Linked DNA regions of Nothobranchius furzeri. The protein of the gene in region 1 interacts with the protein of each later gene in a pairwise test. Links are inferred from orthologs where the notes say so. Each region holds a gene or a part of one and is shown on either strand. Other genes may lie near its edges.

Region 1 (5,909 bases):
TTTTCTAAATTCTTTTTTATATTTCAAATTTTTTGTTTTTCGTTAGCGCCTCATCTTGAGAGGCGCTAAAGAAAAGATTGTTTCTTCTTCTTCTAGCATACAGCAGGTTAAGGTGAGGTTAAGGTTCATCTGTAGGTGATTTACCTTTCTCAGAGAGAAACCTAGGAATTTAAGGGTTAAATGCATTACGTATCAGTTTGGACTGTTTATTAAATTTTCCTAAAAGAGTCACTAATATCGTCTGGCTGAATGTATCGCAATACAACGTGACATATTGTATCGCCAGAGTTTCACCAATACAGATCCCTAATGTTCTTTATCAGGAATGTCTCAGTACTCTCCAATCCAGGTCCTTGAGATCCCCCTACCCAACATGTTTCCTGCTCCAACACACCTGTTTAGCAGCCCATCCGGCACTGCAGAAACCTGTTAATCACCTCAAATCAGAGTGTAGGAGCAGAGAAACCACTAAAACAAGCTAGATAGCGGCTCTCTGAGACCAGGGTTGAAGAGCACTGATCTAATCCATCCTGGGAGATGTAGGCATGTCACTGGAACAGAGCTGTACCACAGTTCAAGTTTGATAAAGGCTAAACATCCCAACACAGCAGCATCGGCACACAGGCGTACCTGGGTTGGCTGTACTGACTGGCTTCTTCGGTCCAGATTTTGAGCTCAAAGCTGCAGCTGGAGGCATTCTGCTCAGAGTCATCCAGCTCTCGGCCTGTAAACACTGACAACACACACATGCGCGCACACACACGCCATACAAGTAAACAGGTGAGTCTAACCGGTATAATCATCCTCACCTGTACACCTGTTAGCTTTATCAAGTAGAACCAGACCAGTTAATTGGTTTCCTAATTCGATCAGCTGATTTTGCATTTGCCTCATTATAGTTGATCTACTAAAACCAGCTAAGCTGATGCTAAAATGTTCTGACATCTCACCAGAAAGACAAAACAAACAAGGTTTGTTGTTTTAGCAGCTGACCCAAATTATTAGTGTTCAGGAAACACATTCCATCAGCTGTTCCCGGCTTCACCAGAGCAGGAACAGACAGCTTGTGTTTCATTTTCAAAGCTGTGCAACAGAAATAAGTCAGACTGAGTGTATTTTGTGCATCTTGCTTATACCTAATGTTTGTCTTCTCTGCATGGATTAGTCATGTCTGATTTTGCAGAGTGAGACTGTCTGTCATGGGAAAAATTGGAAAAATAGGAAATGCAGTCTTTCCCAGAAGATGTGAACTGGGATCAGCTTCATAAAACTGAGCTATGTACAGAAGTAAAGTCTAGCTACACACACCTAGAAAATCAAATTCCATCACAGTGAGTGCTGGAGGCCTACGTGTCTGGTTTAAATCTGCTCCATCAGGCGTGCAGCTCAAACAATGATGTGCTTTCCTTTCCCCTGACATGTCATGTCATGAACATTCACTGTCAGAAGCCATAGATTCATCCTGAAGGCTAGGGCGTCAAAGCAAAAGACAAGATGTTCCAAAATCACAGCATGCAGCAGTGGTATATTTTACCTTAGCATGGCTCAAGCGTCCCATCCTCAGCAGGGAGGTCGCCATTCTGCTGTGCAGCCAGTCTACACATCAAAATAAACCCACATAAATCAACACAGCAGAACATCTGCAGCAGTGCATATAAGAAGAATCTTACACGGTTCTGAAGAGCAAGGCAGCTGAGCAACACTTTGTTGGTGGGGAGAGGAGAGGGTGTCCTGGTGAGAGCAAAGGGTTCTGGATCCTGTTGGATCAGCTGCTGGTGATGCAGGGGCACTAAACAGAGCAGAACTGGTTGGGCCGTTTACGTAACACGCCTCGGTCACGCCCCCAACACACACCCGCGCGCGCCCCCCTCATATATCCTTTTATTTTTTATATATTATAGTTTTTTACTTTAGATTCTGTTGTACATGTTTTCTGTTCACGAAGACCAGAGTTTTTTTAAAACTAAAAGTATTTTTCATGAACAAAATCAATTCACATTGTTGAAGAACATTCAGTTCTGGTTCTGACTGACCGATGTGTTTGGGCCGGGGGCGTGACTGTTCCATAATAGCGTCCGACGTCATAAACGCGCGACCAAACAAGCTTTTACTCTCTCCGCGTGGACTCCTCCTGTCGCGATAATGACTTCTGTGAGGTTTTGTCGAGACTGGTTTCTTTTAAGCTGCAACAAGAAGCTCGTAGCGGTTCACACTAAAGAGAGCAGGTTCGAACTGCTTCGTGTTGTTAGGGTTTCTGCCCGGTGACCCAGACGTGTTTGCTAGCTGTTAGCTAGGTGTTAGCTGTAAACAAACAGCTGACAGGGACTGGAGGGGAGGTTTCTTCTGTTTTTGTAGTGTTGTGTTCATAGAGAAGCGGCGCAGTCCCATCGTGACTGAACACTCTTTGTTTTAGTGAAAACGTCGCGATTGTGCGTTTAAAACCTTATTATATAGTCTCCTTTATTTGTAGTAGATCAGGAAACAGCTGTTCAGGTGGACTGGTTCGCGTGTAGTGCTTTCATGGCACTTCTCCAAGGTTCCCAGTTGCAAGTGGACTGTTGTCCTCTCATCTAGCGTCTCTGCTGGTTTCCTACTGGTGCTTATTAAACACTAAGCTATGCTATTTCACGTGTTCTCCACATTTCTGTTGCAGGGAACCATTTGTGTTTGATTGTAGCGATGCTGAGAAACCCCCCAAAAATCTGAAGGATGACGGAAACAGGTGAAAATGATGGTCATGGAGGGAATGAGCATCCACGAAAACACCCTAATCGTTTTACAACTGTTATCTCTGTCATCAGTAACAACGGCTCCACAGAGGAAACAGGAAGTGATGAAGTCCTCGCCATTGCAGTGTCTTCATCAGGAAAACTGGTGGCGTTAACTGATGACACCAAAAGACTGGTTCTGTTTGAGTGTGAGCCCTCATGGCGCTGCATCAGTACCAGGTACAGCTCGGACAGCTTTACACCAGCCAAACTTGGACCCAAAACACACTGCAGCCACCAGAAAGAGCTCTCAATAGAGAAACACAACAAAAACAAAACCTTCTTACAGTAACTTCAACCAAAGTTATACAAATAATGCCCTAAAGACCCAAACATCTGTTTGCTAACTCGATTTATCTTCATTTAATGTGATTTGTCTAAAGATCCAACTGGTCAGAGCTCACTCACACATCAGCCACTGATCACTCAGATGTGTGTGTATCATCTGAAGCTGTTGGTGAAGCACCGCACTAGAGACCAGGGCCTCATTTAGAAAACCTAGAGTAGGGTCCTTACTGAAAGCTCAGCAAAAAAAAAACTTTTGTATTAACACTGCTTACACACAGCTGCGCACAATTCTTGCTTTATAAATCAGACTGTGTGTGCGTGCATGCATGCTGTTGTTGAACAGGTGGGTGGTCAGGAGGTGCGTGTCTCTGGTGTTCAGTCAGGCTGAAGACGAGCTGCTGGTGGCTGATAAATCAGGAGACGTGTACTCGTTCTCAGTGGTGGAGCCACAGGCAGAGGGCGAGCTGAAGATGGGACACCTCTCCATGTTGCTCTCTATGGTGAGGATCAGTGAGCTGATGTTTTGATTGTTACAGCTGATCAACAAACATGTTTTCTTTTATTCTTCTATTAAACGTAGACTTTGAGTATCAGTGTTAGTTTCTCTCAGATTCATCACAGGTTTTCCCTGCTTGATTTTAGGTCGTTTCACCAGATGACAAGTTTATCATCACAGCTGATCGAGATGAGAAGATCAGAGTCAGCCATCGCAGGTCTCCGTACAACATCCAGTCCTTCTGCCTGGGACATCGCCAGTGAGTGTCTGGTATAAACACACAAGTCATTGATACACTTCAGTGCAACAGCTGTTTTTATTTCCTTGTTCAAAGGTTTCTCCTCTTAACGAGCTGTTGTTTTTGTTAACTGAAAGTAATGTGAAGATGCTGTAAAACCTCTCTGACCTGATGAGGTTGTCCCATCCTGTCTCTCAGGTTTGTCAGTACCCTGCACATCCCACCCAGCCACCCTCACTGGCTGCTGTCTGGATCAGGGGTAGGTCAGCATCTCCCTAAGTTATAAAGTCAAGAGTCATTCACATGACAAGCTGTGTGTAAGTATGACCTGTTGCTTCAGGCATCTAGAGCCTATGAAGTGTGTGTGTGTGTTCATCAGGACGGGACGATGAAACTGTGGGAGTTTGAGTCGGGCCGTCTGCTGCAGAGCTGGGACCTGTCACAGTTGGACGAGAGCCAGAGTTCTGATCCAGATAAGGTGCAGCTCCGTGTCCAACACTGTCCTCATGAGACAAATGTAAAAGAGAACATGTCCTCGAACATTTTACCTGACAAAGTAACGGTTAAAATAAACATTTAGAAAGTATCCTTCTCTCACCCACCTGCTCAATGATCAGCAAGCTTTCCCTGTAAAATGTTGGATCACACGCTAAACAGAGTTAGTTTATCAGCTGTTATCACATAATATTATTTTTCTTATCTCGATTCAATTCAAGTTTATTTATAAAGCGCCAAATCACTACAAGCGTCATCTCAAGGACCTTCACACAGTAAACAAACCAATACAGGTCAGGTCATTAAGCCAATCAGTAAAAAGTTTCCTATATAAGGAACCCAGCAGGTTGCATCGAGTCACTGACTAGTGTCAGAGTCTTTACAGCAATCCTCATACTAAGCAAGCATGCAGCGACAGTGGAGAGGAAAACTCCCTTTTAACAGGAAGGAACCTCCAGAGGATCCTGGCTCAGTATAAGCAGCCATCCACCACGACTCACTGGGGATGGAGAAGACAGAGCACACACACACACACAACATAGTAAATATTCTATTTGGTGAGAGATAAACTTTATTGTATTCATCCTAGTGAATCTATAATTAAACGGGTAAACTAGAACACGTCTCTTATTTTTATCTTCCTTTTTTGCACCAAGCACCACAGCAATTTCCTAATGTTGTGATTCTCGCACATATGGCAATAAAACCTTCAGATTCTGATTAACTGCTGGTGTTTCTGCTGAATCTAAACAGTATGAACTCACTCCACTCTGTCTTGTTTCTGCCGAGTGTTTCTAGACCCCAACCTGATCCAAGTTCTGTGCTTATGAGCCGGAAAGGGTCGATACGTTGTTACCATGACTGGTTTGTGTTCCAGAACACTGCTGTAGTGCGGATCATCAGCTCCTCTGATGGATGTCATGTAGCTGTACTCTGTGAAGGGTGAGTATCCTGACTCAGTTCTCCCTGCTGCTATGCTAATATATCTACTTAGTTCTATGCTAGCACATGTACCCTTTACCCAGAGCTCTCAAGCCTCATGCAATAAGCGTGAGACTCGCGCATTTTCCTGTTTTACACGCACTCACGCCACACATGAGATTTCTCACGCAGAAAATAAAAAAGCCCATATTGAATGGGCTACGAGCGATCAGTTCCCTGCACTCTGCACCTAACAGTGTTGTTCAGAGCTCAGCCTAAGCCCCGCCCTCTGTGTAGCTGTCGGTCTGGCATGCAGCCAAAGCTGCGTAACACTCCTCCTTTTGAGAGTTTTTGCTAGCCCAGGGGGCGGCAACCGCACGCCTCTTCCACCCATCTGATGCGGCTCTCTGTGTTTGTGAAATAATGAATGAATAAATATATTTTTATTTTACTGCATTAATTTTTTATCTGCATGCCAATTCTAAATGTGAAGGTTGTCTGTAAACCTGAACCGGTCCAACCCGGTCTTACTGTGAGACCGGGTTGACTGGTCACCTGCTTGTGCGTAATCAGATGTCTCTGTAGGAGCTTTCTGAGCTGAAGAGGATATGAGGTTCTGGACTCGGACAGGCTCATGGATGCGTCACCATTGGAGACGGGAACTAGCGCTATTTAGCCAAAGTTTCATCATCAGGAACATTTT
Region 2 (6,089 bases), on another chromosome or scaffold:
CTAAACCGATCTCAAGTTGTCTTAGTGAACATAAGTTATCAGATCTGTAACTGGAACAATGTTTGGCTTCTAAATCAGAAAAAAAAAACACTAGAAATTTGAACACTGGTGTGATTTATTTACTCTGTACCAACGGACACGGATCAGTTCACAACAACAAAACAAACGTTTGACAATAAGACAATAAAAGTGAAGAATTTACGACTCAAATGTTTAACAGAAATTTCCCAGAATCCTTAGAGAGCTGTGAATAGGTTTAATAAATAGTGAATAAAGCTGTAAACGTAGAATATTGTTTAGTTAGGTTTCCCAGAAAGCCTGTCTGCTGCAAACACCGTTAGTGTCCTCCACATCGCTCTTGCTGCTCATAAAAACGCCTTTTATGATTAAAAAGCAGCTACGTAACTGCTAAGAGTTTAAGGTGCCAAAAACACTTTTTCCTCCCGGCTGAATCCAAAGTTCCACATAAACAATAATATTAATTCTTAGCTGCAGCTGATGGAAGTGATGCATTTAAGTGTAAGGAATGTGTTTTTAAATTATGTTTAAACTTCAACAGCTGAAACACGATACGCTGGATAGAAACGTGAGCAGAGGAAGGATTAAGGCCGAAGAGTGAAACAGAGATGAGTCCGGATCCACTTCCTGCTTCCAGCTGAGGGGAGTTTATGTGAGGGTAGCGGTGTTTGTGAGGATGATGATGGGCTAGCTGAGGAGGTCGGGCTGCAGGTGGACCCTCTGCAGGACGTCCTCCGGCATGCACAGAACCGGATTTACTGCCTTGATCTGCTCGTCGCCGAGGAGAGAGAGACCGGCGATCCCGAACAGAGTGTGGAAAGGATCCACCTGCAGAGGAGAGACCAGAACATTCAGAACACTGGAGGAAAATCTGAGCTCTGCTTTTCAGAACACGTCTCACCACGTCTCCTGGTCGGTCTGCAAAACCTCCCGTCTCCTCGTCCTGACAGGCCAGAATAAACCGCCGCAGCTTGGCTTTGTCGATCCAGTGGATCCGGCCGATGATCTTCAGCGATGCCAGAACCCACCACGAGTAGCAAACATCTGGGAGCTGCGTCAGATGGAGGTTTGATTAAAGACAAGTCTTAAAAAAAGGGTTTCTTTGGTCATTTTTCCAAACAAATCTAAAACCAAACATCATCAGGAGGTGGCAGACCTTCTCTGGTCTCCCGTTGAGGCCTCCAGATGGCAGCTGCCTCTCACAGAGCCACCAGCCCAACAGGTCGGCGTTCAGCTGGTGCAGCTGGCCAGTGAGCGACAGGAAACCAGTGCAGCAGTAAATCTTATGAAAGCGTAAAAAAGCAACAGGGGGTTTAATGTCAGAAGATTTTTCATTCTATTATAAATTGAACCTTTAGGTTTTTTTACATTGTTGTTTGGGGACAAAAACTCACCTGACCAGCGTGAGACTCTGAACCAGGTCTGCAGCCAAAACCTCCATCAAAATTCATACAGGACAGGACGAACTCAACCGCCTTGTCTACGTTTATCGAGTCCATTTTCCCCTGGGAAAGGACAGATGAAGACTAGAAAGTAATCTTCAGAGGTATGGTTAATCTGACTAAATAACAAACTCACGACCTCCTTTAAAAAGTTCACAGACATCAGGAAAAAAGATGCAACTGAGTGAGTTTTATCACAGAACTGTTGGTTCAGCCTGCATTACGGTTATTTTCAGACAAACCCGTACGTACCAGTAACGCTAGCGTAGCAACCGCACAGAAAGAAAAGCGTGTGTCTATTTCTCCTGAAAAGAACGAAAACTTCAGTTACGATAAAGATCTTTAAATAATCTTATAGTTAAAGCTTGTGCACAATTCCAGATGCAGCTCCTTATTCTCAGACATCTAAGAGTTTGTTGTGCAGGTTTCTCTAAAGAGCTGCTTTGCTTTGTGAAAATGACTTTTTATTTTTACTCTAAATGAAAGAGAGAGTAAAGCTCGCTCACCCCATTTGTCCCCTGCAAAAGAGCCATCCTCCTGCTGAAGCCCTTTCACATATTCCACCACTTTGTCAACATCGATCGCATCCAGGCTGTCATACAAGCACAAGATCTGAGAAAGACGTGTAAAAATAAAAAGATGTCAACTAAAAACCTTAAAGAAAAACACATGTGATCGTTTAGCTCATCTGAGTTTTCCTCACATCCTTAGCATTTGTGATTTATTATAATGAGGCTTTGTGTCACCTGGATGGCGCTGAGGGTGTACAGCAGGTGTGGGTCATGTCCAATACTGGCGCTGACGCCTCCACACTCGTGTTGGCAGGCTTTGATGAAGTCTATGATCTCCTGACGGCTCATCCTGGGCAGCTGACCCATCAGATCCATCACCGTCAGCCCCCAGTAGATACCGCTCATCCTCAGGTACTCTGACAGTGTGTACTCCTGCAGCACAGAGGTGTCAGATTTCATTAACACCAAAGACCAGGTACAGTTTGATTTTGGGTTTAAAACATTATTTAATTCCTGTTGCAAAAACCCGTTAAACCAAAGTAAAATTTCTTATTTGTGCACACAATCTTAACCAGTGAATCAGATGATCAGGCTGCTGTAGTTGCTGAGAGTTGTGGAGGGCAGTTCAAAATTTTGCCTTCTTGGCAATCTGTTTTGGGTCCAGGGGAGATCCCCACTGATGTGGGTGCTCATGAGACGTGAGGGCCGTCTCTTTAGTCTTATAATTATTTTTTAAAATGTACATCTTTGGTTTCTTTAAAGCATTTTCTGTCTTTTTTAATATACTTTGTGGAAAATTGGGACAAAAAACTTACCTTTTAAAACACCTGAATGCATCTTTTATCTTAACCCAAAATAAATAAATAAAACGTTTAAAACTTCTGAAACGAGGTTTTATCGACAGAGGCAGATAAAAACGAGACGACACAAATCCTACAAACTAAGTGTAAATAAAACGTCACTCACATAGTCGTCCTTCTTGGACCCGTAGGCAGCGATGTAATCTGCATGTTTGTCCAGCAGCAGCCAGCTGGGAGCGTCAGGTTTAATGATGACATCTTTTAGTTGAGCACTCTGACAAAAACACAACAGAAACGGTCACAAGACACAACTACGCTGTAGTTAAACGAATACAGGAGGACACATTGTTATGACTAGCTGCTAAATGCTAACAAGGGTAGCATCCACTTCGGCACAGCATTTAAATAAAGAAGACAAGATAACATTTACACACACTTTAATTATAAAACGATGCTCTAAAGCACAGAAGAACAAGTGACGGATTACCATTCTGACATATTTTGCATGGTCAAGCTACTTCCGGCCTTCTTCTTCTACGGTTTTAAATGTCGTATAGTTTCAGACTTTACCGCCACCTTCTGGTTTGATTGAAGTATTACAAGAACAAAATATCAATTTGAGTTATTTATTGTGCGGTTTTGAAATCAAAAATACTAAGTGTTTTGTATTTGTACTTTTAGTGATAGTATAGTAAAAATATGTAACTATTCTAGGGAAAAAACTGGAAAAGTTACTTTTACTTTACTTTTACTTTGCCCATCAGCCAAGGCCAACATTAGAAACCTAGGAGTTATTTTTGATCCAGCTTTAAGTTTAGACTCACGTCAAAACCATCTCCCGCTCTTGTTTCTTTCAACTGAGAAACATTTCAAAAGTCCGTAAACTGGTTTCTACTGCAGATCTGGAAAAAATCATCCATGCCTTTGTGTCATCACGCTTAGACTACTGTAACGCTCTTTTTACTGGTCTCAGCAAAACCTCCCTCTCACGCCTTCAAGCCATCCAAAATGCAGCAGCTGGACTCCTAACCAAATCCAGCAGACGAGCTCACATCACTCCAGTTTTACAGTCCCTCCACTGGCTCCCGGTAGAATATAGAATACAGTTTAAAGTTTTAGTCCTCCTGACCTATAGAGCTCTTAACAACCAGGCTCCAAGCTACCTATCTGAGCTTTTATCCCCACACATCACCTCTCGGAACTTAGATCCACATCTGAAAACCTCCTGGCTGTTCCTCGAACCAGACTGTAAACCAAAGGGGACAGGGCCTTTCAGACTATTGGCCCCAGACTTTGGAACAGTCTACCTTCAAATCTCCGTCTCTCTAACACTGTAGAGGTCTTTAAAAATCATCTAAAAACTCACCTTTTCATCCAGGCGTTACCTCCCTAAATGTTTCAAAAAGATGGTTTTGTTCGAGTTCACACCTTCCCTTTGTTTATACTCATGATTTTATTTTCTACGTTTATCACTGCTATTGTTTTTCAGATGTTTTTATTGGTTAGAGGTATTTGCTCTGATCTTTATCATGTTGTGATTTATATCTGTGAAAGGCGCTATATAAATAAACTTTTACTTATTCATCAAAAAGCTTCCTTTAAATTATACCATTAGCTATCATATTTAAAACACCTATTCTTCAGGAAATACATCAGTAAAGTTTTAACAGAAACTAGATTTAAAAACGGCTACAAATACGTAAAAATGTAACATGACTAACATTTAAAGCGTTAAATGTTTGTTTACAATCAGTACATATAATGGTGATCAGTTTTTTTTTTTCATTAATACATTTAGGATTTCCTTTGTTCACTCATCCAAAAGAATGACCGACATCCATAAAACCAAACCATATAATCCAGAATGAATTTATTAAGTGGACGGCTCAGAAAAATCATACAGCATTACATCCAACATTAGTGAGCAAGTGTGCAGAAGTTTACCATAATGTTGATAATGTCTGCTGAGTGGAACTGGCTGACAGCATGCAGAATTACTTCCACACATTCTAGTGTTAAATGAATTTATACAACTTTACACATTTGACCAGAGTCAGTTGTGTGTTTAAGGCATGACTACAGGCATGAAGACAAGTTAACAAAAATCACAAAGGTGTGAGCCAAGTCTGAACTTTGACCTTCAACCGGATTTTCATTAAAAAAAACATCTTTATCAACAAAACACTCGTGAACGAGAATAACTGCAACAGTTTTAGTTCAGAAACAGATTTCCTTCTAAACACATTTATTTGTATCCTGCTGATGATCATTTCCAACCTGAACAGACTCTCTTTCCTTCACATTCAAAAGATGTTTTTGTACAAAATGTGCTAAACTGGAAACAACACGATTATTTATGTCTTAAAAATGTTTCCTTTTCGTGGTCTGAACTTGTTTGATACTGCAGAGCAGAATGAATCCGTTTTAAGGCAAACAACATCTAGAGCTGCATCCTGAGGCCAGATTAGTTTGACAGGAGCTTATTTATATCCAAAGTACAATATTTAAATGCAGAAGAAGAAAAGTCAAACAGCTGATTTCATTTCTGGAATCTTCCTAGGTGTTCTCTGGCAATGATGAGCCTTTGGATTTGAGCTGTGCCTTCATAGATCTACAAAAGAACAGATTCAATTTAAAATGAAAGCCTCCAGCTTCACCTGCATGCAAAGGCAACACCCACCTGGTAGATCTTTGCATCCCTCATCAGCTTCTCCACCGGGTACTCGCTGTTGAAGCCGTTGCCTCCAAAAATCTGAACGGCATCAGAAGCCACCTGATTGGCGATGTCTCCAGCGAAGGCCTTGGCGATGGAGGCGTAATAAGTGTTTCTGCGACCCTGATCCCGTTCCCAAGCGGACCGCTGGTACGCCATCCGGGCCAGCTCCACCTTCATGGCCATCTCAGCCAGCAGGAACGACACGGCTTGATGCTGCCAGACACAAACAGTTTACCCATCTTGTCAGGTGCATTTCTATTAAAGGATTTCATTAAAAACAAACCTCAGCAATCGCTTTGCCAAATGTCTTCCTCTCCAGGGCGTAGTTAGTGGCTTCATCCAGCGCTCTCTGTGCCAGACCTGTTGCTCCTGCTGCTACCTGCACAGCATCAAGTACAGTAATTAGCCAAAACATACTTCAGTTACCTCTGAGGATTCCACTGGAGGACGTGAACCACAAATCAAAGATCGGCAAATAAAGTTTTTTCCATGTTTTCAATTAGCAACTTGGACACAAACTCATTAAGTGTGGTTGATAGATGCTGGCTCCAGCTGGAGAACCTACTGGTGGTCTGGTGTTGTCAAAGGCACCCATGGCGAT

The links.
Region 2: the proteins of wdr4 (region 1) and rabggtb interact in binary tests that used the Homo sapiens proteins (3 or more experiments, as listed by UniProt). The two-hybrid records come from large-scale screens. The link is inferred for Nothobranchius furzeri from reciprocal best matches to the Homo sapiens genes WDR4 and RABGGTB.

The regions. Positions count from the first base shown.
Region 1 is NC_091754.1:38,325,140-38,331,048, reverse strand, and holds the start of wdr4 (tRNA (guanine-N(7)-)-methyltransferase non-catalytic subunit wdr4), read left to right. Parts: upstream 1-2,067; 5' UTR 2,068-2,142; coding exon 2,143-2,225; intron 2,226-2,653; coding exon 2,654-2,722; intron 2,723-2,801; coding exon 2,802-2,948; intron 2,949-3,399; coding exon 3,400-3,556; intron 3,557-3,698; coding exon 3,699-3,811; intron 3,812-3,988; coding exon 3,989-4,049; intron 4,050-4,169; coding exon 4,170-4,268; intron 4,269-5,162; coding exon 5,163-5,227; intron 5,228-5,909. Other genes in the region: si:ch211-140m22.7 (protein bangles and beads), read right to left, coding at 631-733, 1,535-1,579. UniProt on the Homo sapiens protein: Non-catalytic component of the METTL1-WDR4 methyltransferase complex required for the formation of N(7)-methylguanine in a subset of RNA species, such as tRNAs, mRNAs and microRNAs (miRNAs).
Region 2 is NC_091751.1:41,397,887-41,403,975, reverse strand, and holds rabggtb (geranylgeranyl transferase type-2 subunit beta), read right to left. Parts: upstream 3,384-6,089; 5' UTR 3,263-3,383; coding exon 3,260-3,262; intron 3,047-3,259; coding exon 2,939-3,046; intron 2,405-2,938; coding exon 2,207-2,404; intron 2,073-2,206; coding exon 1,967-2,072; intron 1,766-1,966; coding exon 1,713-1,765; intron 1,524-1,712; coding exon 1,413-1,523; intron 1,301-1,412; coding exon 1,175-1,300; intron 1,070-1,174; coding exon 920-1,069; intron 847-919; coding exon 706-846; 3' UTR 98-705; downstream 1-97. Other genes in the region: acadm (medium-chain specific acyl-CoA dehydrogenase, mitochondrial), read right to left, coding at 5,312-5,383, 5,453-5,701, 5,772-5,867, 6,054-6,089. UniProt on the Homo sapiens protein: Catalyzes the transfer of a geranylgeranyl moiety from geranylgeranyl diphosphate to both cysteines of Rab proteins with the C-terminal sequence -XXCC, -XCXC and -CCXX, such as RAB1A, RAB3A, RAB5A and RAB7A.